Oryzias latipes: one gene and its partners. The protein of the gene in region 6 purifies or fractionates together with the protein of the main gene of each other region. This does not show direct contact. Links are inferred from orthologs where the notes say so. Each region holds a gene or a part of one and is shown on either strand. Other genes may lie near its edges.

Region 1 (4,168 bases), on a different chromosome or scaffold from region 6:
AGTTACCGGTACTCTAACTTTGTAAGATAGAAACATAACTATTCATCTTACTAAGACCATAATCTTGGGTAAATAAATGCTGTCTACTGCTGGACAAATCCTCCACACAAGGTTCTCAAAGGTGTTTTAAGACCAGAAAGTTCCCAGTTCAGAGTTCTTACATTGGAAAGTAAGAGAACTGTGAGACATCTTTGTCAGCTGGTATTGACATTTGAAACTCAATGATGAAGTGGTGTAAGAATGATGCCTGTTTTATTTCTTTGATGTGCATTTGAATCACAGAAGTCTTTTAGTCCATATCTAATTCTACTTTCGAGTATTTAATGATTTAGACAATTTGTTTTCTTTTACCCAATTGCAAGTTGTCACTTTAAAAAAAACCCACAAGCTAAACGATGTAGTAATCAAGAAAAGATCACTTACATCCTCTGCATCGCTGTCCTCTTCCTGTGCTTCATCTTCACTCCCATCATCCAGAGCCCCATAGTCATCAACCATGTCTTCGTCACTGTCATCTTTATCATCCTCGTCTCCCTCTACTTCTTTTATTTCTGTTTTTGCAGGGCCTTTGCTTCCCTTCTGCTGAAGCTGAACTTTCTCCTCCTCATATTCATCACCATCACTTTCTTCCCAGAGTTCCTCGCTGTCGTCTTCACTTCCCGCCTCATCGGCCTTACGCTTTCTCTTTGTAGGTTTCAACCACTTACTGTTTTCATCTGTAAAACCTTTATAGGAATTGACATAAAAAAGTTTGGGCATCAACATTTAAACACCAACAAATAGAAAAATTAATATCCGAAACAATTTATGAAAAATTGAATAAAACATCTAGATAATAAATAAAGGTGGACAAAAGCATAATTCCTCCAGTTCCCTGTGAGTGTCACTGAAGTACCCCTAAAACAACTACGTCCCTGATTTATTTGAGTTAGCTAAAAAGTATATTTAACAAATTCATACGTGCCAAAAAAGAATACATTTCATTTTCTCATTTTTTAAAGTACAACTGTAATTCTTTCTGCATACCACAGATTGTGGGGGAAAAACTCCTGCTGCATTCTGCCTCTTTTTACGTGTTAAAAACAAACCAACAAATAAATAAATAAAAAAATAAAAAAAATCACACTAAACTGTACCTTTTTTGGGCTGTTTTTTTGGAACTTCCTTGAGATTTTTGGAATTGTCTGCTCTCTTTGCAGCTCTGAAAATTCAGACCAAAAAAATCCACAAAAATCAATTTACATCACATAAGGAGTCGACACTTTTAGCCAGCCTACTCGTACCGTTTCCTGGCTCTGCTTGACAAACGCTTTGGTCCAGTATCCTCTACAAAGAAAGAAACATATATTAAAATAGGTTATGCAATTGGATTTTAATATATAAAAAGGCACTTTTACAAACCACTATTGATTCATAAACTAATAACGGACAGAAAACAAATAAATCCTTACCATCAGTAATAAACTTTGCGAGTTCAACCTCTGCCCCCTTCTGCTTCCTGGCTTTCTTACCAGGTCCTCTCTTCACTTTGTTGGTGGGATCCAACTTCCGACCCATGGCTCTGACTTACACTAAGCATTACAGACAGAAAAATGCACCAATGCATATAAAATAAAACCAACTGTTGGGGAGGAATGTCTTTTGGATGCATAGATAGAACAACAACATACATTTCAATGTAAAATATTAACCACCTTTTGTTTTAGCATCTTAAGCTATTTACAAGTGACGCTTACAGATGCTTGGTTTTAGCCAATCTGTTATCAGTTTTAGATTTTTATTTTATACATCATGACACAATATCATACAAAACTCTCAAAGAAGATGATAACATGGCATAACCTTGTAGGGGCTGTACAAAAGACATAATACGCAGTGATTTACTGATGACCAAACACAATACTTTGAAGCAAAATTATTATTATTTTTATTAAAATAAAATAAGTATGAAAAACAAGGGAGCCAAAAGAATAGAAATGTAAAAATAAAACGGAAACTAAAACAATAACCAAGTAGAGACTAGTTGAAAGATTATTTTTGCCGTTTTCCAGGTTTGGATGGTTTTACTGATAAAATATATTATGAATTTATTTATAAAGCATAAAAAGTGAGTTTGCTGTATCTACATTTGCTGCAATGAATGTGATATGTGCCAAACAATAAAATGTTAATAATGTCCTATAATGACTAAGTTTGCCATGAATATTTCACACAAAGGGGAAATGTAAACTTAAATATATTGATCTAATTAGTTTTAGCTAAAGTAGAAACTCAAGAAAAAAATCTTTATAATAAATCAAAAGCGTGACATAATATTATATGTCCCACACAATTCTAAGGACTGGCGTTTATCTACCGTGGTTAGCAAATATATTTGGGTGGTAATAATATGCGAGCAGTTTCAAGACTCAATGACATATAAACAGATGTGCATTTGTGACCGTTGACTAGTTTGTTCAAAGTTATTCATTTACGTACATACAACACGTTGTAGAATAACCCTATAGCAGTAGCAAACAAATGTTTTTCACCACCAGGAACAGATAGAACCATCACGAATCCGACGAGCAGAACTTCTTTGCATGACCGCACGCAGTGGCCGAGAAAAATGCCAAAACCTTAGCGAACACAAATATGACTGCATTGGCTGAAGAGATAAATACATTTTACTATACTTACACAACAGATATTCCAGGGGAAACCGAGTTTAAACGTGGTGTGTGAAGAGAATTTAGCACACGTGAATTTTCTTCAGCACGTTGCAGAAGTACATCCGTCGCACACAAATGACATCACTGAGAACGCGCAAGTTAAATCTTAATTAATTAAAAAATACATATATATATATTCAAAGCGGTGAAAATGATAAATATTTCTAGAGAGTACAACGTATTTTCTGTTCTCATTGAAAGTTGTTCCGAAATTAAGTTAAAGTTTCAGTGACGCACTAATCATGCGACTCGAATAGGAGGCTCCAGCGAAAGAAGACAGCATGGCTACCTCCGAAGGAAAGAAGCGTGGTCTGGAGCATTTGGACGAATATGAACCCAAACCTGCGAAGTATATGCGAAGCCTTCACGACCGAATGGCAGAAAGGAGACTTGTTGTCATTTTGGAGGGGGCCTCGTTAGAAACAGTGAAGGTGACGCGTCAGAGACTCGGAAGTTGCATGGCAGCATCTGCCCTGCTCATCACATTAGGTCATTATTTATAAATCTTCTTCAATCGATATTTCGTTTTGTGTCTCCCCCTGTGTTACAGGTCGGAAAAACGTTTGAGTTGCTAAACTGCGATCAACACAAAAATATTATTGTCAAAAGTGGGAGGGATCCGGGACAAGTTAGACCAGACATCACACATCAGGTCAGTATTTCTTCTATTGATCGTAGCCACAGTGAGTCAGAGAAAGATGTGTTGTTGCATTATCAAAAATAAGAAATGTGTTTTTCCGGTTCTGTTGTGTTTAGTTGATTGTTTTTCATTCTAAGCATCACATCTCTAAATATCTGGCTATCAAAGACTCACCGCAATGAAAATTGTGTTTTTAACATCGTCTTTTAGAATTTTCTTATTATGGCAGACATATATAAAGAAAAAAATTAGATTAAAGTTTTTTCTTTTTGTGGTGAATTGAAATAGTAAGAGTTATTGTTTTGTTGTTTGTCTTCAATAATGAGTCAGTCATGATTTGTGCTTTTTAATTGCTTCATTACAGTGTCTTCTGATGCTGATGGATAGTCCATTGAACAGGGCAGGCCTACTGCAGGTTTACATCCATACAGAGAAAAATTCCTTAATAGAGATCAATCCACAGACGCGCATCCCAAGAACGTTCACACGCTTCTGTGGCCTGATGGGTAAAGCTGGAATGGTGTAGTTTGTGTAGACAATGTCATCTTCTTCTTCTAATTTGCTTTTTAACCTTATTTAGTCCAGCTTCTGCACAAGCTGAGTGTCAGAGCAGCTGATGGTCCTCAAAAGCTTCTGAGGCTCATTAAGAATCCAGTGTCTGACCACTTGCCTCCTGGCTGCCCTCGCATCGCCACCTCCTTCTCTTCGGGGGAAGCCGTGGGTCCCAGGACGTTGGTGCCCGAGGGACCGGCTGCTGTGGTGATCGGAGCATTTGCACACGGAGCGGTGAGAAAACTAAAATGATTTTGACCATTTT
Region 2 (4,062 bases), on a different chromosome or scaffold from region 6:
ATATCTCACAGTCTTTTACACATCTCCTTGACCTTTTGACCTTCACATTTACCCACCACCCTTCATCCTTCTCGTGCTGCAGCCTAAACTCAGGTGAGCTCTGGTCGCCTCCATCAGCTCCACCCCGCATGACACCCGACCCTCTGAAACACAAACACCCACAGCTCAGATTCTCAGTCCAGCTGTCAGCTGCACCCCCGTCTTCTGGTTTTCTAACGGTGTCGTACGCGTTGGTTTTGCTCAAGGACACTTCAACATATGAGCAGGCAGAGACGGAGGTTGCCGGTTGAAGTTCTTCCCTGCTGTTCAGGTGTTGGGTCTGTTCCACAGGTGTAGAAAGAACAGCTGCTTCAGTGATGCTCCTCTTCATCAAAGCACAGTCGGCTGCCAGCAGGATTACGACAAATGAAGATTTAGTTAAAAATATTAAATATTTAGTTTAGAAAATTAATTTTAAGGCTAGATCTTAATATTTCATTTGCAAATGATTTATTTTATTAAATTAAATAGTTAATTAACAAACTAAAATTTTTATTCTGTAAACTTAACATGTACCGGTAATTATTTAAAAAAAACATTTAACTTTAAATTAAATATTTAGCTTGCTGACTACATATTAAGTAAGTGTAACATTTATAAATACATGAATTAAAAAGTGAAAATGTGCATTTGAAAAATTAAACCTGTTTTTCTCCAAAAACAGACTAAATTACCAATATTTTAGCTATTAATATTTGACAGCAGCTTTACAAACGGTAAACTACAAGCTTTTCCTAACAGCATTTTTTCCATTTGCGTCTGATTTACCACCATTTGAATAAAGAAATACTCAGAAATGAGGTTTAAATCTTAATTTTCTTTATTAATGTCCTCCATCGTTAGAAAAATGCTGTAAAAAAAAACACTTCTAAATTTCATTGGAGTGGGTTTTTAATAGCGGTTAAAAAGAATGGAATCTGTTTTTTATTTAAGACTTGAGGTCCAAATGTCAGCACCATAATTCAGAAGAATTTATATATGAGTACATGTAGACATTATCAACTTTAAAGACTGAAATATTTTGAGGTTTTTTAAACAACGTTTTTATTGTGAATTCCGTTTTTGCTTCGTGTTTGTTTGTAGGCTTTGAACTCAGAAAGTATTACGTAAAAAGTACCCACCATATCAGTCTTTTTTAAATTTTATTTTATTTTTTCCCTCCATATCAATCTTTCAGAGCCACACAGGGAAGAATGACATAACAAACTCAATTTCCCATCGTCCTTAGCGATCCGGTTTCACCAGAGGGAAGATGGCGGCGCTAAGTGGAACAAGGCTGCCGCTGCGTTTCTAAAAAACGACTAAAGCGGACCGCGCGGGGCTTGGAGAAGCGAGTCGGTGTCTTAGACGGCTTGTCGGTGATCCCGGGGCGGATGCTGCGGCCTCGGAGGGGAAACGGGAGCGCGGACGGTGAGTCGTGAACGCGCTTGTCTGTCTGTCTGCCTCCTAAGCACGGCGGCTATATTAGCCGACTGTCTACTGCTGAGCAGTGAAGTGCGTGAAATGCGGCACGCGCATTTTATTGCTGACTCCCCCCCCCCCCCCCACACACACACACCGTACGTACACGCGCACAGCGACGTGCGTCTTCCAGCCTGGAAGCGGACAGACGAGGCAGCGTCGGGGAGCGTCCGGCGTCACGGTCAACAGTCCGGCTGACATCAGGCAGCGGGGGTGCAGGGAAGCCACAGCCCCCCCCAGAACAGGCCAGCCGCCTTATGAAGACACCCACGAAGCGTGCGGGGAACCAGTCCGGACTCGGGAATGACTAGAACACGCATGGTGGTTCCGAAAAAACCCGGTGCGATCCAAGAACGGGGCTGCAGAACGTTTGAGTCCGCAGGAGACTGCAGGCACGTGCAAGGACGGCACCCTGGTTGCCCTGGAAACAGATGCTGGAACCAAAGTAAAGCTCCTAATCTTAGATGGATGGATGGATGAATGGATGGAGTCACACTTCTAGAACCAGGACTAGAGATGTGACTCCATCCATCTCTAGAAACATCCATGACCATCTGTAGATGTGGATGGAGTCACGTCTCTAGTCCCAGAAACGCACCATCAAGTGTCCAGTCAGAGACTCAACTTTGGTGCTGATGAATGGGTAGCATTCTTTATTATTCACTGACGCACTGATCATGAAAGGGAAATCTTATTTTAGCGGTTTGTCCCTGGCTTCTACGACACCAAGTCTGTAAAATAAAAGGCCTGGAGCCAGATTCACCAGGTTTGCACCGCTTTGACCGTTCACACCAGGTGCGTGCACTAGGATCCGCTAGCGGCTGTCCAGTGTGAACAGCATGGGCTAAAAGCACGCCCAAGATAGCTTAGTGCGTCCCAAACGCGCAGCACAGGCCCGGTGTGAACGTAGCATGAGGCTGAGGATGGCGTGAAGGAGGCTTGCAGCCTCGCTGGTGTATCGACCAATCACAGATGCTCTGTCGGTGCACACTGAAACCACAGTGGCTGTGCTCACGAAGTAAACGACAACGGAATATTTGTTATTATCACATCATACACAGATTATCGGTGCGTGGTCCCAAAGGAAACTTTGTTGGTCGGTAAAACGCAGGCGGTGGCGGGTGTGGCGGCGCTTGCTAGCGGTGGAGTTTTACTTTTGAGGGAGAACCAGCTTTGGTCACATGGTCCCATCATCAGGTCTGAACTCTAATCCTTCTGTTGTTCTTTCCTCTAGATTCGCTCCTGCTTGTCCTTGTGTGACCGCCGCCCCCCCAGCCCCACAGGGAGATCTCTGTGCCCCCCCTCATGGACTTGACTCCAACTCTTGGTTTGAAGAGGAGGCTCGCCTCCCCCTCGTCCCCCGCTGGAGTTGGGGAGCCCGCCAGGACTCTTCGTCGCTCTCCCTCCTCGTCCCTTTCACCTTCATCTTACCCGTCCTCCCCCCTGTCTTCATCTTCGTCGGTGGGGGCTTATCAAAACCATGTGAAAAATCAGAGGGCGGGGTTCTCCACATCTGCCACGCTCACCACTCCTCCCACCTCCCTGGACTTCCCTCGCGCATCCATGCAGTCCGGTGGAGACCGTGCCGAAGATGGTCGGAGGAAGATGTACGATCCCTTCAGTCCCACTGATGGAGACAAGGAGAGGAGGGGGGAGGTGGAGGGGGGAGAAGGAGAGAAGTACGACCCCTTTGACCCCACCGGCTCCCCGGCATCAGATGAGGACAACAGGAGCGACAAAGAATGGATTTCAAAGGGGGATGACGATGAAGAGGAGGAGAAAGATGAAGAACCTCCAGATTCTACAGACACACTGACGGACCTGCCGAGCCCCCAGCTGACCACCAAGCTCCCTCTGAGGAGGAGGGTGGAGCGTGGCCCCCTCAGAGCCGGGCGGCCGGCGGGCGCCGTTGACTCTGATAATTCTGAGATCGAGGAAGGAGAAATAGTTGGAGTCGTTGACAGAGACGGGCTCAAAAAAAGACTGAACGAAGAAGCCCCGCCTCCTGGCTCCCCCAAGATCTCCTTCTTTGCTTCAAAGCCAGAGAGGATCCTCCGGGTTCTGGACGGAGACGGGTTTGTGTCGGTCTGCGCCGAAGGAAACTGGGAGGAAGAGCGGGAGGACGAGCCTGTGGTCGGGGTGGAAGATCTGAGGAGGAAGCTGGTGAGCAGGAGGAAGGAGCGGTATCTCTCCTTTCCCGCCTCATCGCCCCCTTCGCCTCAGCAGCCGAGACCTCCCCCTTCTCCTGCCACTCCCCCCGCTGAGCAGCCCAGCAAGAGCCACAAGGCCTCCAAGAGCGCCAAGGAGCCCGACCGGCAGAAAAGCAAAGAACGCAAAACCGGAGATAAGGAGACGAAGAGGAAGAAGAGAAGGAAAGGCAAAGAGGGAGATCGGAACAGGAGCAAAGACAAAGAGCAAGGAGGCAAGGCTGGAAAGGAGGTCAAAGCAAGGAGGAGCAGCAGGAGCAGCAGCCGTAAGAGAAAGAGAAGACGGCAGAGCACCCCGGAGGCCTCCCACTCCTGCAACTCCTCACGAAAGGGAGGTCACTCCAGGCGATCCTTC
Region 3 (4,294 bases), on a different chromosome or scaffold from region 6:
AAAACAAATTTGTAAGTTTAAGTGATTCATATTTAATCATATAGTCCTGAATCGACTCATTCTTTTTGCCATACTCAACCCTCGTCAATATTGCTAAATAACTAATGCTAATAAAGTCAATAGTTAAAAAATTAAAAATCAAACACATATTTACTACTAATTTTTGACAATTAAAAAATGCTGTTTTAATACAATAATGTTTCCAAATGGCAGTATGGATGATGTAGAAAGACGACTTACTGTAAAAATTTGCAGACCCATTTTAGCCGCCTCCTTTTCCTTTTGGGACAGCACCATTTTTCGTGACCCTGCACTTTAGAGGGAAATAAAGATGGAGTCAACTTAAACAAACCACAGACAGCCAGTCACCTTATCTCCTCTGAACAGAAGGTTGAATTCTGCCAAACCTAAAACTGCAAAGAAAAGTCATGAAATATCCAAGAATATTATTCACCAGCAACCTGATTAACAAATCATTTGACTCATTTTAGTGTATAAACTAGAAAAAAAAAAACTATTAACAAACTCCCATTTGTCATTTGGACAATTAAACATAACTTCTGTACATTTGTTCAAGCAAATTGCATTTATAATAAGAAAAAGAAAAGTTGAAATTTTCCTAAAGCAAACATTTTGCATAAAAAAAATCTGTTTTATGACACAGACAAGAAGATAATCTCACCTTGAGCTTCCTAAACCTGAGATACGATCCACATCCTTCTCTTCACCATCAACCTCTTCTCTCCGGCATACCTCTACAAGATCCTGAAAAAAAAAATCAAATTCAACTTACAGGACTTGACAGCAATTTTTCCAATATTGACCAGCAACGTATCCATACCTCTTTAGTAAGCCCTGTTGGTTGTCTCTTTATATTCTTATGGCCTCTAAGTTCAGAACAAGAAACGCAAAGCATCACTTTTTGTGTCCTAATCTTCAAGAAGGTACAGGAAATGGCTTATGGGAAGTCGCACGTACAGGGCAGCCATCAGTGCCTCCTCCTCTGCAGCTCTGACTGCAGCAAGCTCCTCTTCTTTGGACAAAGGAGCACCACCTTTCTTGTCCTTTGCATACCAGGTCAGATCTTTCCCTTTCTGCCATCGTCCTACGGGAGCCATCAAGGAGTTTCCTGGAAAAAACGCAGAAGAGGTCAAACTATTTAGGTAAAGGTTCTTCTTTAAATTCTACATTTCAAATGCCACAAATTCAGAATACAAAATGTATTATGCAGGATTGTTATACTTTATATTTAGACTTTTTCTTTTATCTAGATGTTTTAATGTTTTGCACCAAATAATCATTTCAATAAATCTATTTGACTTTTAAAGATGATCATGGTTACACACATTTAAATGAAAATATTAGCAGTCCAGACTTCTCCAGTAGATGTATCCTTTTGCATTTTCCCCCATAAAGGTTCAAGTGTAAGAATCAAATTAGAATAGAATAGAATAGAATAGAATGGCTTTATTGTCATTGTGCATAGTACAATGAGATTTAAGCATCACCATCAGTGCAAGAACAGTAAGGAAGGGAAAAGTAGTAAAGATAACATTGTAATATAATAAAATCAAACAAGCAAACAAACAAACAGTATATACAAGTGTGCAATATAAGCTGTAAAATTGATATCAGATCAATGTTTTAAACTTCCTCCAGCTGAGTAAACTTTGTCTTTTAGAATATCTCATTATAGACAAGTGCAGTCTTGTTGTTAGACTGTTTTTTTAATTCCAAGTATTTAGGCAATCCACACATAAGGCAACAGTCTCCTGCCATGTTAAGGGTGGGTGTTTTGAGCCTCATTTCTGTTTGACTTTGCACCTGAAAGGTTGTGGTTTTAGCTCATATTTTACACAGACAACATTCAGAAATCTAAGCAGCTATGAGAGCTTGTCGATTTGCTTTTGTTACATGTTTCTCGGTCCCGACTACTGTGGTGATCACTACGTAGCTCTCTCTGGGCATGCTGACCCGCTGGCAGCGGCGAGGGCACAGAGACAACGAACGTGTCGACCAGAGGAGGCATTGACAGCACGTTTTTGCTTTCTTTACGGAGATTAATCGGGATTGATATCAAGCTATTAGATCAAGCCAAGCCTTGTGTAATGAGGAATTCAATAACAAAAGGTAGGAAAACAACCTAATTTTAGGGGGGCCACACGGGGTTTAAAAGCATCTGGAGCTAATCTTTCCTGGATGTGTGGCACGCGCTGATAGCGTAATCGACTGCACGTTATGGACTTACCGAGATAATTCTCTCTGTGTTTATCGACCTTCACTTCATCCCAGTTGAACTGGTCTTGGCCTCCACGGATGCCTCCGGATCTCGATGAACCAAACATCTTCAAAAGGGCAAAAAAGTGGAGATTCGGGGGGGAAAAGTAACACTTAGCTAGCTAGCTAGCAGCTACGTTGGTTAGCAGAGCTGCGTGGTCGGTGCGGGCCGTTAGCGTGGACTCATCCAGGAAGTTTAGATTCCCAGTTTCCACGAAAGAAACCCACACGGCTGCGTTTGTTTCGACAGCAACTTCCAAACAAACAAACAACCCAACAACGCGACAAAGAGCAGAGCGTTAAAGCTGGACTCTCGCGCGCGCAGCTTAAAGTTGCAAAGACCCAACAAACAATTTTTTTATTTAAGTAAAAAATTTAAAACGGTAGATTTGTAATCCTCAGCAATAAAGATCTGACTACTGCAAATAGAAGCAATACAACTTTTTTCCCGACTAACGAGCATTTCCTGCTCCTTTTGTTTATTTCATTTGGTCGCGTCCAGTGGCGCGCGCGGACGTAACGTGTTTGGGTACGTAGTGATGACGTAGGCGTCTCGCGGTGAGGAAAAGGGCGGCGGAGGCAGAAAATGCTCCGAGGACCGTCTGCAGAATCAGAAAAACCTGCCTCCCGATGTACATGAGACATTTTATCAGACTGTTTTCAGGTAGGAATGAGGATTTTTGACTTCCTTTCCTCCTTCTGCTGTTCTGTTCTCTTTTTCCCATCTCTGTGTCGGAACCACTATTCATTCCTGGAGACACTTTGTTGTCACGGAGCTACAGGAAAAGATGGTGCCCAAGAAGTCAACCGGTGTTTTATTTTATTTCAGGATGCATATAAATCCTAGATGGATGATACAACTTTTGATAGTAGCATAAAAACGTCCAGTATCATCTATTTTGTTTAATGTCAACTTAAATTAGGAAACCCTTTGTAAAATGTAATTTGGGAGAAAAATTACATCACTAACAAAATTGTCTTTCTTTTTTCTTCTTCTTTTTTAAAAATATTTATAAGATATCCAGTTTGCTTATTCATGCAAATTAATGCATTTTCTACCATTTGTCACTAAAAATGTGCATTTTGAAGAATTAGAATATAAGCTTATATCTGTGAGATGTTACATACCTTGCAATATTAAAAAAAAAACAAAAAAAAACATTTAAGTTGGAACCAATTTTTTAGGTTTTGGTTTACTGAAAAGTCTGATAATCTGTTGAGCATTTTTAAATGGTATTTATTCGGAGCAAAACAACATTGGTGCAGTTTGACACAACAGACATTTAACATATTATATTTTTAACCAACCAGTGAGATACTAAAGAAATAAATTAACAGAAAACCGTCAAACCCAAGAGATAAAATCAGTTTATTACTTTGCCACAATAATATCTACATTCAAGTAAACAGGACATCTGTAATGCAATACATGTGTATTTTCTGTGTGTTTTCTTAAGGATAATCAATTGATCTTCTCTTAGAACATGTACTTAACATTGATTGATAACATCTCATTTTAATCAATTTTATATAAAAAACAAACATTTTCTGTCAATTTTTTACGTAAAATGTTCTCATTGAATTAATGAAAGTTGTGTTTTGATTTGGTTAAATCACTAGTTATGTGTTAACAGTGTTTAACCAAACTGTCATGTAAACTGAAATGTAGATTAAAAAAATGTCCAATAGAATTTGACAGTGACGCTCAGCCTTTCTGGTTCACGGAGCCGCTAGTGCTTTGTAGGCTTCACGTGATTTTTATTTGGTTGTAAATCTGATCACATGATTCTCTGTGCGTTCATCATGAGAGTCAGTCTGTGCTGATCGTAGCTTCACATGTTTCTCATTTCCTGTCAGCCTCTTCTAAGTAGGAAAGGTTTTTTTTTTTGGAAAACAGTTTGAGGGAAATCAGAAGCTAATCTTTCTAATTGACAACTTAAGTTTAGAGAAATAAATGGTCTTGAGCAGAACTAGGTCTTAACTATGCACCAAATATATATATATTTTCATCTTAATT
Region 4 (3,260 bases), on a different chromosome or scaffold from region 6:
CACATACGTAGAGCTAATAGTTTTTCAAGGCAGTGTACATTTTAATTTAGCCTTAAGATTTGGGACAGAAAAAAATAAATCCATATCAACTTTATATACATGACATTGACAGATTTTTTTTTACTTTACAGGTACTTTGAACAAAATGATTTGGCAGACCAGGAGTGAAGCTCTGAAGTATTTAGCCGTTTTTATGGACTGGCATCTCTTGTGGTGATGAACTCAATTTTCCAAGAAAGGTTGGAGAAGAACTATGGGTAAAGGAACGCTTACTAAAATGTTTTCTTTCAAGCATGAGTTATTTTTGTAAAAGACGTTGCATTTTTCATTTTTTATCCTTTCACTGTTGTGACTTTCAAAATAAAGATTTGTGTAGAATGTTTTGGATGTTCATTAAAGTGTAAGCCTCTCAAGGAAACATTTGATTTCACAATAAAGTTTAGGGAAACTGCTTGATAAGCAAAACCTCTGAAAAAAAATTTAGCAGGAATGAAAACACATTTCCACTCACAGCTCAACTTTAATTTGAAGCAAATTACAAGTAAAAAAAATTCGTAATCAATTCAAAACAAACAAGTCACACTTGAAATAGATCAAAGTGTCAGAGTGGATTAACAATTTCGTAACCATTTTAACAACCTTTGATTGGTCACTCTTCCCACAACATTCACGTAAAACACATTTCCAAAGCCCCAAAAGACATCTCATTCCCAAATGTTGGGCTGCAATTCAAACATATTGGATGCAAAGATGCTATGACGTTTCTCTAAAATCTTTAGAAAAGGGCTCAGACACAAGCTGACGGATGCTTTGTCCAACCACATTACATGAATGTTCAAAAGCTGGAAAAGAAATTAAAAAAAAATAATAATTTGACATTTAGACCCAACAGGAAGAAGCCCAACCACGAGAAATCCTCCCATGGTTTTAAAAAAAATAAACAAGTTTTAAAAACAGAAGACTGATGACCACTGGACGTCTGTTTACCATTCACCGTTAATTTTTTTCTAAAAATCAGAACCTCGCATCACATCAGCGTCTCTTGTCCTTCCCATCTCTATCTTTATGTTCCCCTTCGCTCCGTGAAGACCTGCCTCTGCCTTCTTCGTTCCTCCTCTTCTTCTCCTTTGATTCTTTGGAGTCCTTTCCTCTACTACTCCTTCCTCCCTTGGTGCTCTTCCTCTCCTCCCTCTTCTTGTCTGTACCTTTCTCTGATGGCCGCCTCTTGTGGTTGCCACCATCTCTACCGCGGCTGTGACTGCTGTTAGAGGACGAAGATGATGAAGACGAGGAGCGGCTGGATCCAGAAGAAGAGGAGGAACTTCCACTTGAAGAGGAGTCTGACGAGGACCCGGAGGAGGACGAGGAGGAGCTTTTACTGCGGCGTCTACTTGACTTGGCCTTCTTCCTCCCCCTGTCACCATCACCATCATCTTTTTTAGGGCTGACGACAGGGGCCTCTTGGGAATTGGGCACCGGTTGCGGGGCCTCAGTTGATTTGAGCTCCTCTGCCCGATTCTCATTGGCAGAGTCCTGGACATCAGCTGTGGATGATGTCTGGGCTTCTTGGGCTGCATGTGCGTTCTCTGTCAGAGGGGGCTGCTCTGGTGGACCCTCTACAGCGAGGCTGGGTTGGGGCTGATCTGCTGCTTCTTGGCGGTTTTCCCTCGGTTTAGAAGCCTGGGTTTCTACAGGTTTCTCTTGTAGGTCTACAAACCCGTGTCTGCCATCTGTTTTGACTTCCTTCATCTCCTCTTCCTTCTCTGCTTCTATTTCCACCTCCATTTCCTCTGACTTTGGGCTTGCTTGCTTCTCCTCTTTCTTCCTCTCCTCCTCAGCTTCTTTTTTCTCACTTCCTTCCTCTCTAAACTCCATCCCTTCCTCCTCTTCTACTTTTTCTAATATTTCCTTGTTTCCCTCCCCATTATCCCCTTCTATCACAATTCTATCTCCTTCCCTCTGACCTTCCTCATCCTCATCTTCCTCCTCCTCCATCTCTGCGACACTCCTTTTACCTGTCAACTTGGCTGCCTGACCTGCTGGCTTACCCTCCGCCGGATGGTCCATCCTTGCGGCAGTGTTGGTGTCCTGGTCGCGGTTTATCTGGCGCCGGGGACGTGACTCCATCTTGTTGAGTTGCTCAGCAAAAGCTTCACGCCTTTCCTCAAACACAGCTGTGGAGAAAACGGTAAAGCCAAACAGGAAAAAGGTCACGTTATTTGCCTTCTTCAAATAAATAATCTCATTCTGTAAATTTAAAAAAAAAAAGCTTCTTTCTTTAAAAAAAAAAGACCAGACTGACCATTTAGTTTCTTGGTGGACTCTTCGAGGAGTTTCTGTGATGCGGAGCACATTTTTCCAGGAAGGTAGAAGATGTGAGGCTTGGTCTTTGTGCGAATGAATTTCAACAGGTTGTTGTTGTGGCTGGTCCACTCCTCTTGCTGGTATTTGGAGAAGATGGGATAGACATTTATAATCATCTGTGTTTTTTATATTTTACTAAAAACTAAGAACAAGCAAGTACCTGCTAGTGGAGTAACAAAAAAAAAAAAGTCTTTATAACCAGTATATAAAAAAATCTGTCACATAAACAACTACTGTACTTGTCAGAGTACAAGTCGCGTTTTTTAGCAGTTTGGCCTCAGTTGCAACTTAGTGTATTCAGACTAGGAAACAGTTTGTTCCAGACCCAGTCCGCATCATGTGGTCCGGATCGAGCACTCAACCTTGCGTTTGCTCTGTATTCAGACTGCCGTCAAGCGGCCTTTCCTGATTCCAACCAAAGCTAGTAAACAAAACCATGTGAATAAAATCTCTTCACTCACTGGTCAGGATTTAGGAAGGCGGAGCAAGTCAACTATACTGCAGTCCTTCATTCAAACTTTATATTTTGCTGAACAATTTTAAATGCCTGTTTCAACAGACAACACTTTATACTGCTGCTTTGATCTGGTGGAGGCATACTGCAATGCAGTAGAAGACGTCTAAGAAGCTACACTGATAAATGTTTGACACAGATTGTAGGGAAAACGATGAGAAGCAATGTGTATTATGTTAAAAAATTAACTTAAACCTGCATTCATCTGATCACATTTTAATGAATTGCAGTGTCTATGGTGTCAATGGCATCGTTTTGAGGAAAAGGATGTCGTCACATTAGCTCATGCCGTGTAACGAGACACAGAAAAGAGTGTAAAACACATTTTTAGCTGTGTTCAAATAAACCTAACAAGGAGTTGGATCCTTTTTTCCCTCTTTGA
Region 5 (3,500 bases), on a different chromosome or scaffold from region 6:
ATTGTCATTTGTGCCAAAATCAAAAAAGTGCTTTTGTTTATTGGACATGTCTTTGCAGAGCAGCAGTAGTTCATTAGAAATTTGCTTTTGAGTAGTGAGGGGGACCATTGGGGCGGAGCAAGCCCGCCACTTCCCTCGCCATTAGCTGCGAGCTTGGAGCAGTGAGCTTGTGGCCCGCCCAACTTATTTACCACAAAGCAAATTAGCTCTTTTTCCCAATGGCCTTTTTCCTCTGTTCCTGATTCACAATGATTTGGATAAAGAAATACTAAGAAATACAAATGTAAGCTTAATTTTCTCTATATATGTCCTCCATCATTAAAAAAATGTCACAAGAACATGTTTTAAAAACACAATTTTCATCAGAGTGGGGCTTTAAGCAGGAAAGAACTGACTTTACAATAGATAGACATAAGCACATTAGCTTTAACTTCTTTCATAAATGGAATTTGAAATGGAGATCTAAGATGTTTCGGTTGACTCTAAGCGTGAAAATTGTTTTAGGGAAGCAACAACATTGCAGAAATAGCTGAAGGCTGCTTTTCTGTATCAGTGGAAAACCTGCAGACTGACCCGTCAGGTCCACTTAGTCTTTACTGCAACCTGAAGTGATGGTCTTTTTGGTCTAGGTACCCCTCAAGTTTAAAGACTGCAGTTTGTGCATCAACAGCCGACATTGTTGAGACCGGGAAAAAGAAAAATCGAATATTTTTGTAACAATTTGGAATTTTTCTCATGGCAAATGGGCTCTTCTGAAAGAGGGCCATGTCAAATGTGGTGCTTGTACCAGAGAAAGCACAATGTCTGAAATATTACCCTTAGCCTTTGGTACTAGTAAGATGTCTCTCTCAACAGGAAAGTAAATGTGCAGAGATACACAGCATCTCATGTTAAAAAACACTAGATTGTCATGTTCTTTTTTGACTGATCAAAGATGACGTCGACTTTACCTTTGTTTCTCCGGCGATCGGCGCCACGTTGCAGACTTTCTTGGAGCGCAGAGTGTTGATCACAGAGCTCTTTCCCACATTTGGATATCCGATGAAACCCACGCTTATCTGTTTCTTGTCTGTGTGGAGCTGCGAGAGGTAAAAAAAAAGAAAAGAAATGGAGAAGTTTCTTTTTCTTTTGTTTTCACAGATGTGCTTCCTTTATAAACAGAAAATACTTTTGTGCATCTTTTCAAACAATCAGAATATAGCCAGAAAGTTTCCTAATTACACCCCCCCCCCCCAATATTGTGACTGTACACAAATTACGCAATTTTTATTTTGTTTTGGAACATAATGTGAGTATTTGTTGTGGTTATTCTGATCATGAAAAAACAGTGTTTATGCATGTATGATGATGCAAATGCAATGGGTAATATAAATATGAGTACAGAGCTGCTAAGGAGCAGAAAAGACGGAAAACACTTTCCTACAGAACATTTATAAAAGCCAGATTAAATTCTGGAATGTGTAATTTTTTAAATCAAGAGAATAAAGGGATGAGAAGGGTACAAAGAAGGAAAGGAAGGCTCATTATCTGAAGCACTTCACATCATTTTTCAAATGTTTAGAAAGCAGAGTTAAGGCAGAGGCATGTGAAAGGAGCCAAAGGAACCAGTGTTTATTGATCATTTGCCTGCTGCCAGAAGCAGCAGAATGAATCATGATATGTATAAAGAAGCCATTTTGAACAAATTTAGTCCAATGTTTCAGAAACGGAGGGGATGGCACAACAAAAGTAAACACAGATGGACGGATTTAAGAGGGGAAAAAAAAAAAAAGAAAATGCAGAGGAAGTATCCCAAAAAAACGTTTCTGCTGCAAAGAGATGGAATGTTCTGAAAAGGCAGAGCGAGCATCTTGACCTCAACTCGCTGAACTTCCCCTTATCAAAGAGGCCCCAAAACATGCAAACACAGAGCAAATGAACGTGTCGGGGATTGTTCTCCAAAGCAGCCAAAGGAGGACGAATATTCTCAAGTCTTTCTGTGGAAACAAAAAAAAATTATGGCTGATTTACTACTCCCAGCCCCTATCATAATCCACTCTCTCCCATGCTTAACAGGAGAAGTCTGTGAACCCGCTACTTTAAAAAAAAAAATGTTTTTATGATTAAAATGGGCAGTAGTCTTCACTGTTCTGGGATGACACAACAGATTTTCTTACATGAACACGAAACACAACAGCTGCTGTAAAACAAAAAAGAAAAAAAAGTAAGGACAGTAGTTCTTTCTGAGGCTTCTGAAGAAGCCGGTCTTAGTGAGAAGCCTGGCTGCTGCGCTGCTCATAAACGTGCTGCTCGAAAAGTGAATGACACAACTGATAAAATCACTGGCTGTACTCTCTGCTCTCAGCAGGAAATTACCACAAGGATTTGCTCCAAAGGCATAAAAGTTGCTCACTTCAAGAATTGTTTTTCCTCCAACAGCAAAAACGACTCCAAACAAGAACAAACTTTAAAACTTTTATGACGTAATTCCTTTACTATTAGAAAACATTGTATTCTTAATACCAATTCATCTGTTGTATATATATGATTTATTTAATTATCATTTTAGTTACACAGCAAATTGATTATGCCTCTTGTATTTTCATACAAGGAAAATTTTTCCTGACAACATAGGCGTGAGGTTAAAGCATCTACACCAAAACATTTTAAGCCTTAATTGTTCTGATGCAATTCTGTAACTTTCTGACACACTCATTTCCCCGACTGTAAACCATGATCATCAAAATTACAATCAATTTATAAAGGAATATTTATGAGAAACTATACTATTAAAAAAATCAAATTTACATTTTTTTAAATAAACAACTAAAATTTGGAAGTTTTTCTGAAGATTGAAGGTTTTTTAGATCTTCCTCTAGCATCCTAAAGTACACTTGATTATCTGGTACTAATTATTAAGTTTAGGTCCTATTTAAAACACTACTTTCAGGCAAACAGAGCAGGTTAAAATAAACAAAGACAAATAGATTTAAGCTCAGTTTTTACAAAAATGCAATTTAATTATCTGTACATTGCTAAGACATAATGTTAAACAATTCAAGTCTGCAGGTCTAGAATTATCTAATATAGTACAGAATGTTTTAATTACCTATATTGATTGTGTGCGGTCATACGTTCGATTTTTAATTCTTCCATCCATCTGCACTCGTTTTCTCCCTTATGGGGTCACGGGGCTGCCAGAGCCTAACCGGCCACTGTTGGGTGAAGGGAGGGGACACCCTGGACAGGTCACCAGTCTGTCTGGGCCACAATCACACACCCATGCACTCTCACATTCACACCTAGGGACAATTTAGAGTAACCAATTCACAGATGAAGCATGTTTTTGGATGATGGGAGGAAGCCGGAGTGCCAGGAGAAAACCCACGCCTGCACAGGGAGAACATGCAAACTGCACGCAGAAAGATCTGGGACTAGAACCGGAGGACCTCTTGCTGTGAGGTTAGAACGCTAACCACCACACTTGTTTTGATAAGTCTACCACATTTTTATTAGCTGTA
Region 6 (3,500 bases):
ACAATTCATAGGGGAAATTCTAATAAACTACTGCTGCTCAGCAGATACTATGTCCTGGAAAACAACACGGGTATTTTGATTTAGGCAAACAAACTCCATAATCATAATGAATAAAACAATAAATAAATAAATAAAAAGTTTATATCCAATTATGGACATGACAGTTTAGGACGTTACTAACAAAACAAACAAAAAAACGTTTTAAGAATTGCAATCTTTATTGTCTTTATGTAGATTTCATCAAACTTATATCAAAACTTTTTTTTGTATATATGATGTTTTTTTCTTAAATTAATTTATAGGAAAGGTTTATTGGCAATTACATAACCAACTGTCCTATTTAAAACTGTATTTTTATTTTACTTTGAGGATTGTCCAGTTAATTTATTTTTGGTCAACCAGAAAACAACCATCCTTTATAACTTTTTTTATATCACACCAGAAAAAAAATGGGAGAACAAATTTCAGGATGAATTCAGGACAAATTTCAGGACACTTGAACATTCCATATAATATCTTCAAAATAGCAAAAAATAGTGAAGTGAAATGATCTGTTTCCTGCTTTCACTTTCTCTAGTGCAGTGTTTTTCAACCAGTGTGCCATGGGAAATTGCCCTCATTAACTGATCTAAAAACATTTTCCATCTCCAGGAAATAAGCTCTTTGTTCATCCAAACAGGCCCCTCATAAAACACTGAGTAGTTAGGAATATAAAAGATCATAAAATACCTTTTTCTTTGTGTTTATTTGATTCTATTAAAGAAACTTTGATAAGAATGACGGTACCGCGATTTAGCCGTAGCTACAGCTGTTTTCGGAAAAGTTCCGCCCCTTTAACTGTCTCCACCAATCATTCTTGAAGGCTTAATCACATGTCATCAGTCTGACCAATCAGAAGTGGTTAAAGTCTTCACTTCCTTGTTCTGATTCTGCTCATAAAGTCGCTCAGTTTCAACAAAAATACCAGCTAAAGCTCATCTTTAGCGGTGTAGCTTTCCACAGAATCCGGTGTCAAACCGTGGAACAAGTGAACAAAACAATGAAGCTCAGAGACGCTAGTCTGTCTGCCACTACATCTCCCATGATACATTTGGCTAAAGTGACAGCGTCTCAGCGCACAATGAGTCTTTCCTCTTAAACATCTTGAAACCACAACGAACACACATCAAACAGTTTTTAAATCTTTTAACTTAACTTTTATTACATCTTTTAGAAAAAACAGCTGCAGCTTCCAGGTTTCTCTGCCACAATTATCACAAACATGCATGTGAGATTGCAGAGGGGCTGTAGATCAATACAGACTATGAGTTTCTCCTTTTTTTTATTTTTCGATGCCAGTTTGCCGCGGGATTTTTTTTTCAAGGTTAAACTGTGCCGTGGCTCAAAAAAGGTTGAAAAACACTGCCCTACTGGGTCTGTAAACAACTTTATTGTTTACAGCAAAGCATAAGAACATATCTTCAACAGTGATTACCTTTGCCCAACACACTAATGTGCAGAAAATACCTGAAGTTCCGCTTAATTGGCAAAACTTAAACTTAAATTAAAGATGGCAGCAAAAGACGCATATTTAAACTTAATATGTCTTTTTCCTACCAAGCCTCTTCCAACTGTAGCTGGTGGACATGTGCTAGTTAACAGAAGCAAAAAGAAGAAGCCCCTCCCTGCTTGTCAAGTGTAAACACAACGGGCTGAACATGCCCGGTGTGTACCTATGGGTAAATGTGATCTTATACATCATCTTTGTGATAAAGGTCTGAGTAATATGACAAGCTCTAGCTGAATCTATGACACTCTAATGAAAAAGTCGGTGTGTTTTGTGTGAACATCCTCACCTGTCTGATTATGCTTTTGACACACTGCAGAGGCAGACCTTGGTAGTTAGATTTAATAATCCATTTCAGCAGGTGATGACCCAACACCTCAAAAACCATGCACACATCTGTGAGGATGAGTCAAGGACTCCAACTCCAATCTCTTTGATGCTGGCTCCCACAAAGGCATCCTTTTAATTAGGATACGTATGCCGTTGACTCCAGAGATCTTGAAGTCGTCTATCAGCTGAACCACCATGTCCTTGTTGGGGTCTCCGGGGTCGCTTTCTCTCACCTGCAGGACAAGATGGTGAAGAGGTCACCATAGAAAAGTCTACGGAAAGAGAGGCTGTAAAGGAAAGGTGATGTTTGGGGGGATGGAATCAATGGATTTGATTCTCACACATCGCAGCAGTTTAATCTCATCGAGTGCCGTCTCTGTGTAGTGCTGGGCGCTCTTCACCACCTTCATCGCCACAAAGTTCTTCACCCTGCAATGCGACACAATGAAGAGGTTCAGAATTTATCCGTGTGAATATTCTAGTTACTGAGGTGTAGGGTGCCAGGGGGCTGTGAAGAAAAACAAAAACATCACAGAAAAAAAAAAAAAAAAAACAGCAAATGTAAAGAATCTTTAAGACGGACCATCCTCATTTTGGTCATCGCCGTGTTTTTCTTTTACAAGGTGCAGGCTGCACTTCCATGACTTCGTTTCTACTCCATAAGGTAAAAAAAAAACTTAATTTCTCATTTTCATTCAACTTGTTCACCTAAATGTCAAAACACGTTAGAAATTATCTGCCAAAAACCTTCTATCCTTTCATGAGGAAAGGATACTTACTATGCATTTCTATGTTACACATTACTGAACAGCAGTAGTAACAGTTTGCATTTTAAAGTCATTGCAATGGAACAAGCATACATATACTGTATACGACTCAGGCTACGTATACATTAATTATTTGGCGCGTCTTTTTTTCTACTGTTTACTAGCGCATGATCGCCACCCACAATCACAAAAGGTGTAATGTCAAAGCGGTGCAAATCTTGTAAATTGGGCTCGAAAAAGAAACGGTTCGGTTCAACGCTGGCGTCTTTGCAATGGCGGGACAAAACAAAACTGTTACATAAAAAAAAAAGAATGACGACAGCATTTTACAATGCCATCCCGGAACCAAACTGCTACAAACTAAGAAGAAAAATAAATCAATAAAAATAACATCATAAAACTACATCGCATGGTAAAATACATGAAAGGCAGATAGAAAATGAAATAAAATGAGTAAAAGAAAATAAGATGCTATTAACTACTGAGTAGTAGAAGCTGTTCTAAAAACGGTACCAATAACCACAGTGTTTCTGCCATAACCTGGGCACATCCAGTAGAAAAAACGCAAAATAAAACAAAAAGGAGCGTTTTTTAATCAAGCATAACCTGTAAATAATGCAGGTTAAGTAACTACAGAACAGAGGATGGCAGTTCCATGTTCATGTGATTAGTCTAAGGTCTTGACTTCTGAACAATCGTGACCAAACCTGAGACGATGACCACCGTCAGCGTAAGAAACACCAGTGACAACGCAGAGTGTGTTCGTGCACAAGTCTGTGAAAGGAGAAACTCCTGGAATGATGGTACTATCAATTATCAAGCCAACAGGTGTTGCCGTGTCAACACCTGTGGTTTCA
Region 7 (3,500 bases), on a different chromosome or scaffold from region 6:
CCCTTACTGATTTTTACAGGTTTAGGACCGTCTGCGCTTTTGTCTTGCACCTAGAAACATTTTTATTAGAAGATATATTTTTACATAAACAAAAATGTGCCTTTAAAAAGAAAAAAAGAAAAAAATCAAACAGACAAAAACATGATTACCACTGGCAAAGGGCATTGACGAATGTAGTGACCCGCCTTTCCACAACGAAAGCAAGTATAGTGAGCAGGTGGGGGTCCAATTGCCTTCTTTGAGTAACTAAAGGAAATGTATCAAAAAGGTTATGTTGATCCCTTATACGCACGTTTAAAAGGCAAAAAGGTGAGACGATTTAGCACGAAAAGACAAAATGTGTGACTACTGACTTTGCTGGGTCATAATCATGATTCGATTGAGTCATCATGGCTTTAATCTTGTCCTCCTCTGACGCATTTGCGTCAACCAGATTAGCGGTCTAAAAGTCAGCAGAGAAAATTGTTAAAAAGGATTTTTTATTTATTTAAAAGGGAGGTTAGGGGAGGAGCATTCAAAAATAGACATTCTCTTCCAAAGTGACCATGTAAACAAAATACCTTGGCAAGCTGGGCAAGAGACAAAGAAGGAGAAGAATCCGTCTGCAGGAGAATCAGAGCATATAAAGTTAACGTTACCCGTTAGGCATCTAATGATAGATTAGAACTCAAGACGCTTCCTGTGTCCTTGCAACATGATTGCGAAGACAATCACGTCCTTGCAACATTATTACAGCCTTTGCTGTTCTATCAAATACAGCAATCAACCATTCAAACAATGACAGATCCTCATATAATCTGCATTTAACATTAAATCTTCATCTAGTTTAGCTGTTGATGTTCAAACAAAACTCAGGTTTGCTCAAACTGCATCTGCTTTAGTTAACATAACAGAAAAGAAACACTCTAAAAGGCTAATTGTAAAAAAAAAAACAAAGTCACTTAGAAGCTAATTTTTTTGCCTACAAAGATGACGGTACATGGTTATACCGGTATTTTGAACCAAAGAAGGTAATTAAGTTTGAACCATTTCACATGGACATCCATAAATCCTTCTATTCTGGCCAAATTTATAAAACAATACAGTTCTGCTGTGGAGTCTATAGAGCTGCTAGCATTAAATGGCCTTAAACTCCTTTTTAGATGCATCAAGGTTATGGAACTACATAGGTATAATCAGCAAATTCTAGAAGTACACTATATGCACATCTAATCCTTAATTTAAAGTCCCACTCTGATTACTTTTTGATCGATTGAAAAAGTGTTCCCACTGGAATTAATTCCAATTAAGCTGCTGTAAGCCAAAAATAAAAAAAACCTGTCCTAGAAAAAGCTAGTTTTCTAAAGCAATGTTTCAGCAGAGCGGCAGACATTTATTTTCACTGCCGAGTTGTGGGCAGAAATTCTGGCACGGTGTGAGCCTGCCCTCATTTCCTGTAATCACTCTGTTTACATGCTCTCCCGCTAGCTTACAGCCCTTCACGACCCCAGCCTAACATTAGCTGTGCAACAAAAATGGCTATCAATACTGAAGCTATCCAGCCGTGTAATTTCGAGTCAGATTCCAAACGTGGATGAGGAAAACGTGGATCGGATCGTACGTAGATCTAGTCGTCAACAAATGGATACATCAGAATGGAGCGCTGCAGGGAGTTTGTGACGTGCTGGTTGTATATTTTTTTCTGCTGATTCACAACGATTTGAATAAAGACATTTTAAATACGCAAGCTTAATGTTGTTGATGCGTGTCTTCTATCCTCAGAAAAATAAACATCAATAATACAATTTTCATCAGAGTGGGTCTTTACCAAGGCCAAAGAATCAAACCTCAATGTCTAATGAACTTAATAGTTTGAGATTCTTTCCTGGACTTACGATAGGTTGGCAAAAAGCTGTGCAAGCTCTTAAAAAAGGCTAATTCTGCATTTACATATATAAAACTGGTATGACAAAAGAAACACATCCGGCTTTAGAGGAAAGCATAAGAGAAAACAAAACAGTTGTTAGCAATCCTTTCAACTGAATCCTGAAACGGTCAGTCAGTCCTACTTTGGAGGAGCAAAAGTTATGTTGATCACAAAGTTTGAGAAAAGAGGTCTTTAAGCAAAGAAAAATGTATTTTATACTACAAAAGGCAGATCTAAATGCATGTGACAAAGGTCTAATATTCAAGCTAGCAGGAGTAGGATCCATCGCAGTCTGCAGGGCACAGGAGACAGTGGTTATTGCTTTAGGCTGCGCAGGGAACACAAAGGGATCTGGTGCAAGCAGTTCTGACAAAACCACTCAACAGCTTTATTGACAGGTTCTGCAGCTTACAGGACACACTTCACCAGCATACGTCTCACTGCAGCAACCATTGGAGGCCTCTAAAGATCAACATGGTACTTAGATTACCATTGGGTCTTAATACTTTTAAAAGACAAAATTACATGTGAGGCAAAATCACAGTACCTTTTAATAACTAGCTCCTTAAGACTCCTCAATCCAGTTTTAACAGTACACATTAATCTAGCAGGTTTGATTGCAAGACAGAAAAAGGCACTTGAATTCTAAATGACTTTTGTGCACTTCAGGATTAAATTTTGTGTGTGTGTTATGTTCAGTCCATACCAGAACAAAAACAAAACAGCTTTCACGAAGAAATTGTACAAGACAGAATAATCAACATTATGTGTTACCAAACCACAGATTTTAGAACATTGTTGAGAAGGGTCAGTTGTTGACATTAAAAAAAAAAAATTACTGGCAAATCTGTTCCACTCACAACTTCTGTGTAATTGCAATCCACGTTAATTACAATCAACCCCAGTAAAACTGTCATTATTGTGGTTTTTTTTTTAAATAAACCAGATCATTAAAATTTTCACAGAAAATAAATTACAAGAAATTAGCAGCACAAAAGACCAACTTCCTTAAAGTGCATATGCCTGGCTTAAAGCAGGCTACAAAATCATTTAATTCTGCAACATTCATATAAAATTACTTTTTCAGAATATTTTAATAGAGCAACATTTCAAAAATGTATTCCATTGTCTTAAAAAAGGACGTTCTGCCAAACCTTCTCTCAATAAGCCACAATAACTTTAGTCTACTGATGTCATATGAGACACAAAGCAGAGATTTTTCTGATATGAACCGTGTTAAGTGTAGAAAACTCTCCTTAAAAAAGAACATCAAGTCACACAGAGGTTGAGATATCAACACAAATGTAAAACAAACAAAAAAAACACAGTAAACAAAAGATACAATTGGATTTTTGTTGACAGAATGTTCTTGAGAAGGGTGAATAAAGCCAAACAGAGTGGGAGAGAAAGAGGTGAGGAGAAGAGTGTGTTGATTTGGATTTGTTTTACATACGGGTCTAGAAGATCCAACCACAGATGTGTCAGAACGATCTCTGCAAAAAACAAAACAACATTGGCCATCAATGACAAGTCACACATTTACTTTAATCGACTTAATTATTGATTTAGATTTCTACAAGATTGGGTGAAATAC

The links.
Region 1: the proteins of SRSF protein kinase 2 (region 6) and nop2 purify together in Homo sapiens (affinity purification with mass spectrometry; 3 studies listed by BioGRID and IntAct, with this or other methods). This does not show direct contact. The link is inferred for Oryzias latipes from reciprocal best matches to the Homo sapiens genes SRPK2 and NOP2.
Region 2: the proteins of SRSF protein kinase 2 (region 6) and scaf1 purify together in Homo sapiens (affinity purification with mass spectrometry; 3 studies listed by BioGRID and IntAct, with this or other methods). This does not show direct contact. The link is inferred for Oryzias latipes from reciprocal best matches to the Homo sapiens genes SRPK2 and SCAF1.
Region 3: the proteins of SRSF protein kinase 2 (region 6) and c17h1orf35 purify together in Homo sapiens (affinity purification with mass spectrometry; 3 studies listed by BioGRID and IntAct, with this or other methods). This does not show direct contact. The link is inferred for Oryzias latipes from reciprocal best matches to the Homo sapiens genes SRPK2 and C1orf35.
Region 4: the proteins of SRSF protein kinase 2 (region 6) and pnn purify together in Homo sapiens (affinity purification with mass spectrometry; 3 studies listed by BioGRID and IntAct, with this or other methods). This does not show direct contact. The link is inferred for Oryzias latipes from reciprocal best matches to the Homo sapiens genes SRPK2 and PNN.
Region 5: the proteins of SRSF protein kinase 2 (region 6) and gnl2 purify together in Homo sapiens (affinity purification with mass spectrometry; 3 studies listed by BioGRID and IntAct, with this or other methods). This does not show direct contact. The link is inferred for Oryzias latipes from reciprocal best matches to the Homo sapiens genes SRPK2 and GNL2.
Region 7: the proteins of SRSF protein kinase 2 (region 6) and E3 ubiquitin-protein ligase RBBP6 purify together in Homo sapiens (affinity purification with mass spectrometry; 4 studies listed by BioGRID and IntAct, with this or other methods). This does not show direct contact. The link is inferred for Oryzias latipes from reciprocal best matches to the Homo sapiens genes SRPK2 and RBBP6.

The regions. Positions count from the first base shown.
Region 1 is NC_019874.2:20,209,456-20,213,623, reverse strand, and holds the start of nop2 (probable 28S rRNA (cytosine(4447)-C(5))-methyltransferase), read right to left. Parts: upstream 2,801-4,168; 5' UTR 2,680-2,800; intron 1,572-2,679; 5' UTR 1,558-1,571; coding exon 1,452-1,557; intron 1,327-1,451; coding exon 1,284-1,326; intron 1,202-1,283; coding exon 1,137-1,201; intron 726-1,136; coding exon 424-725; intron 1-423. Other genes in the region: emg1 (ribosomal RNA small subunit methyltransferase NEP1), read left to right, coding at 2,993-3,142, 3,262-3,363, 3,716-3,857, 3,932-4,137. UniProt on the Homo sapiens protein: S-adenosyl-L-methionine-dependent methyltransferase that specifically methylates the C(5) position of cytosine 4447 in 28S rRNA. Required for efficient rRNA processing and 60S ribosomal subunit biogenesis.
Region 2 is NC_019866.2:24,765,844-24,769,905, forward strand, and holds the start of scaf1 (splicing factor, arginine/serine-rich 19), read left to right. Parts: upstream 1-1,262; 5' UTR 1,263-1,449; intron 1,450-2,734; 5' UTR 2,735-2,805; coding exon 2,806-4,062.
Region 3 is NC_019875.2:27,890,373-27,894,666, reverse strand, and holds the start of c17h1orf35 (multiple myeloma tumor-associated protein 2), read right to left. Parts: upstream 2,801-4,294; 5' UTR 2,346-2,800; coding exon 2,249-2,345; intron 2,131-2,248; coding exon of another isoform or gene 2,109-2,130; exon of another isoform or gene 1,809-2,108; intron 1,164-1,808; exon of another isoform or gene 1,130-1,163; coding exon 979-1,129; intron 888-978; coding exon 842-887; intron 766-841; coding exon 683-765; intron 314-682; coding exon 241-313; intron 1-240. Other genes in the region: guanylate kinase, read left to right, coding at 2,908-2,941.
Region 4 is NC_019880.2:19,637,658-19,640,917, reverse strand, and holds the end of pnn (pinin), read right to left. Parts: intron 2,442-3,260; coding exon 2,303-2,441; intron 2,175-2,302; coding exon 1,033-2,174; 3' UTR 501-1,032; downstream 1-500. Other genes in the region: gemin2 (gem-associated protein 2), read left to right, coding at 132-168. UniProt on the Homo sapiens protein: Transcriptional activator binding to the E-box 1 core sequence of the E-cadherin promoter gene; the core-binding sequence is 5'CAGGTG-3'. Capable of reversing CTBP1-mediated transcription repression.
Region 5 is NC_019874.2:23,612,859-23,616,358, forward strand, and holds part of gnl2 (nucleolar GTP-binding protein 2), read right to left. Parts: intron 1,080-3,500; coding exon 951-1,079; intron 1-950. UniProt on the Homo sapiens protein: GTPase that associates with pre-60S ribosomal subunits in the nucleolus and is required for their nuclear export and maturation.
Region 6 is NC_019864.2:11,784,748-11,788,247, forward strand, and holds part of SRSF protein kinase 2, read right to left. Parts: intron 2,306-3,500; coding exon 2,218-2,305; intron 2,110-2,217; coding exon 2,022-2,109; intron 1,943-2,021; coding exon 1,836-1,942; intron 1-1,835. UniProt on the Homo sapiens protein: Serine/arginine-rich protein-specific kinase which specifically phosphorylates its substrates at serine residues located in regions rich in arginine/serine dipeptides, known as RS domains and is involved in the phosphorylation of SR splicing factors and the regulation of splicing.
Region 7 is NC_019859.2:21,164,417-21,167,916, forward strand, and holds part of E3 ubiquitin-protein ligase RBBP6, read right to left. Parts: intron 3,400-3,500; coding exon 3,360-3,399; intron 603-3,359; coding exon 561-602; intron 443-560; coding exon 354-442; intron 247-353; coding exon 150-246; intron 51-149; coding exon 1-50. UniProt on the Homo sapiens protein: E3 ubiquitin-protein ligase which promotes ubiquitination of YBX1, leading to its degradation by the proteasome.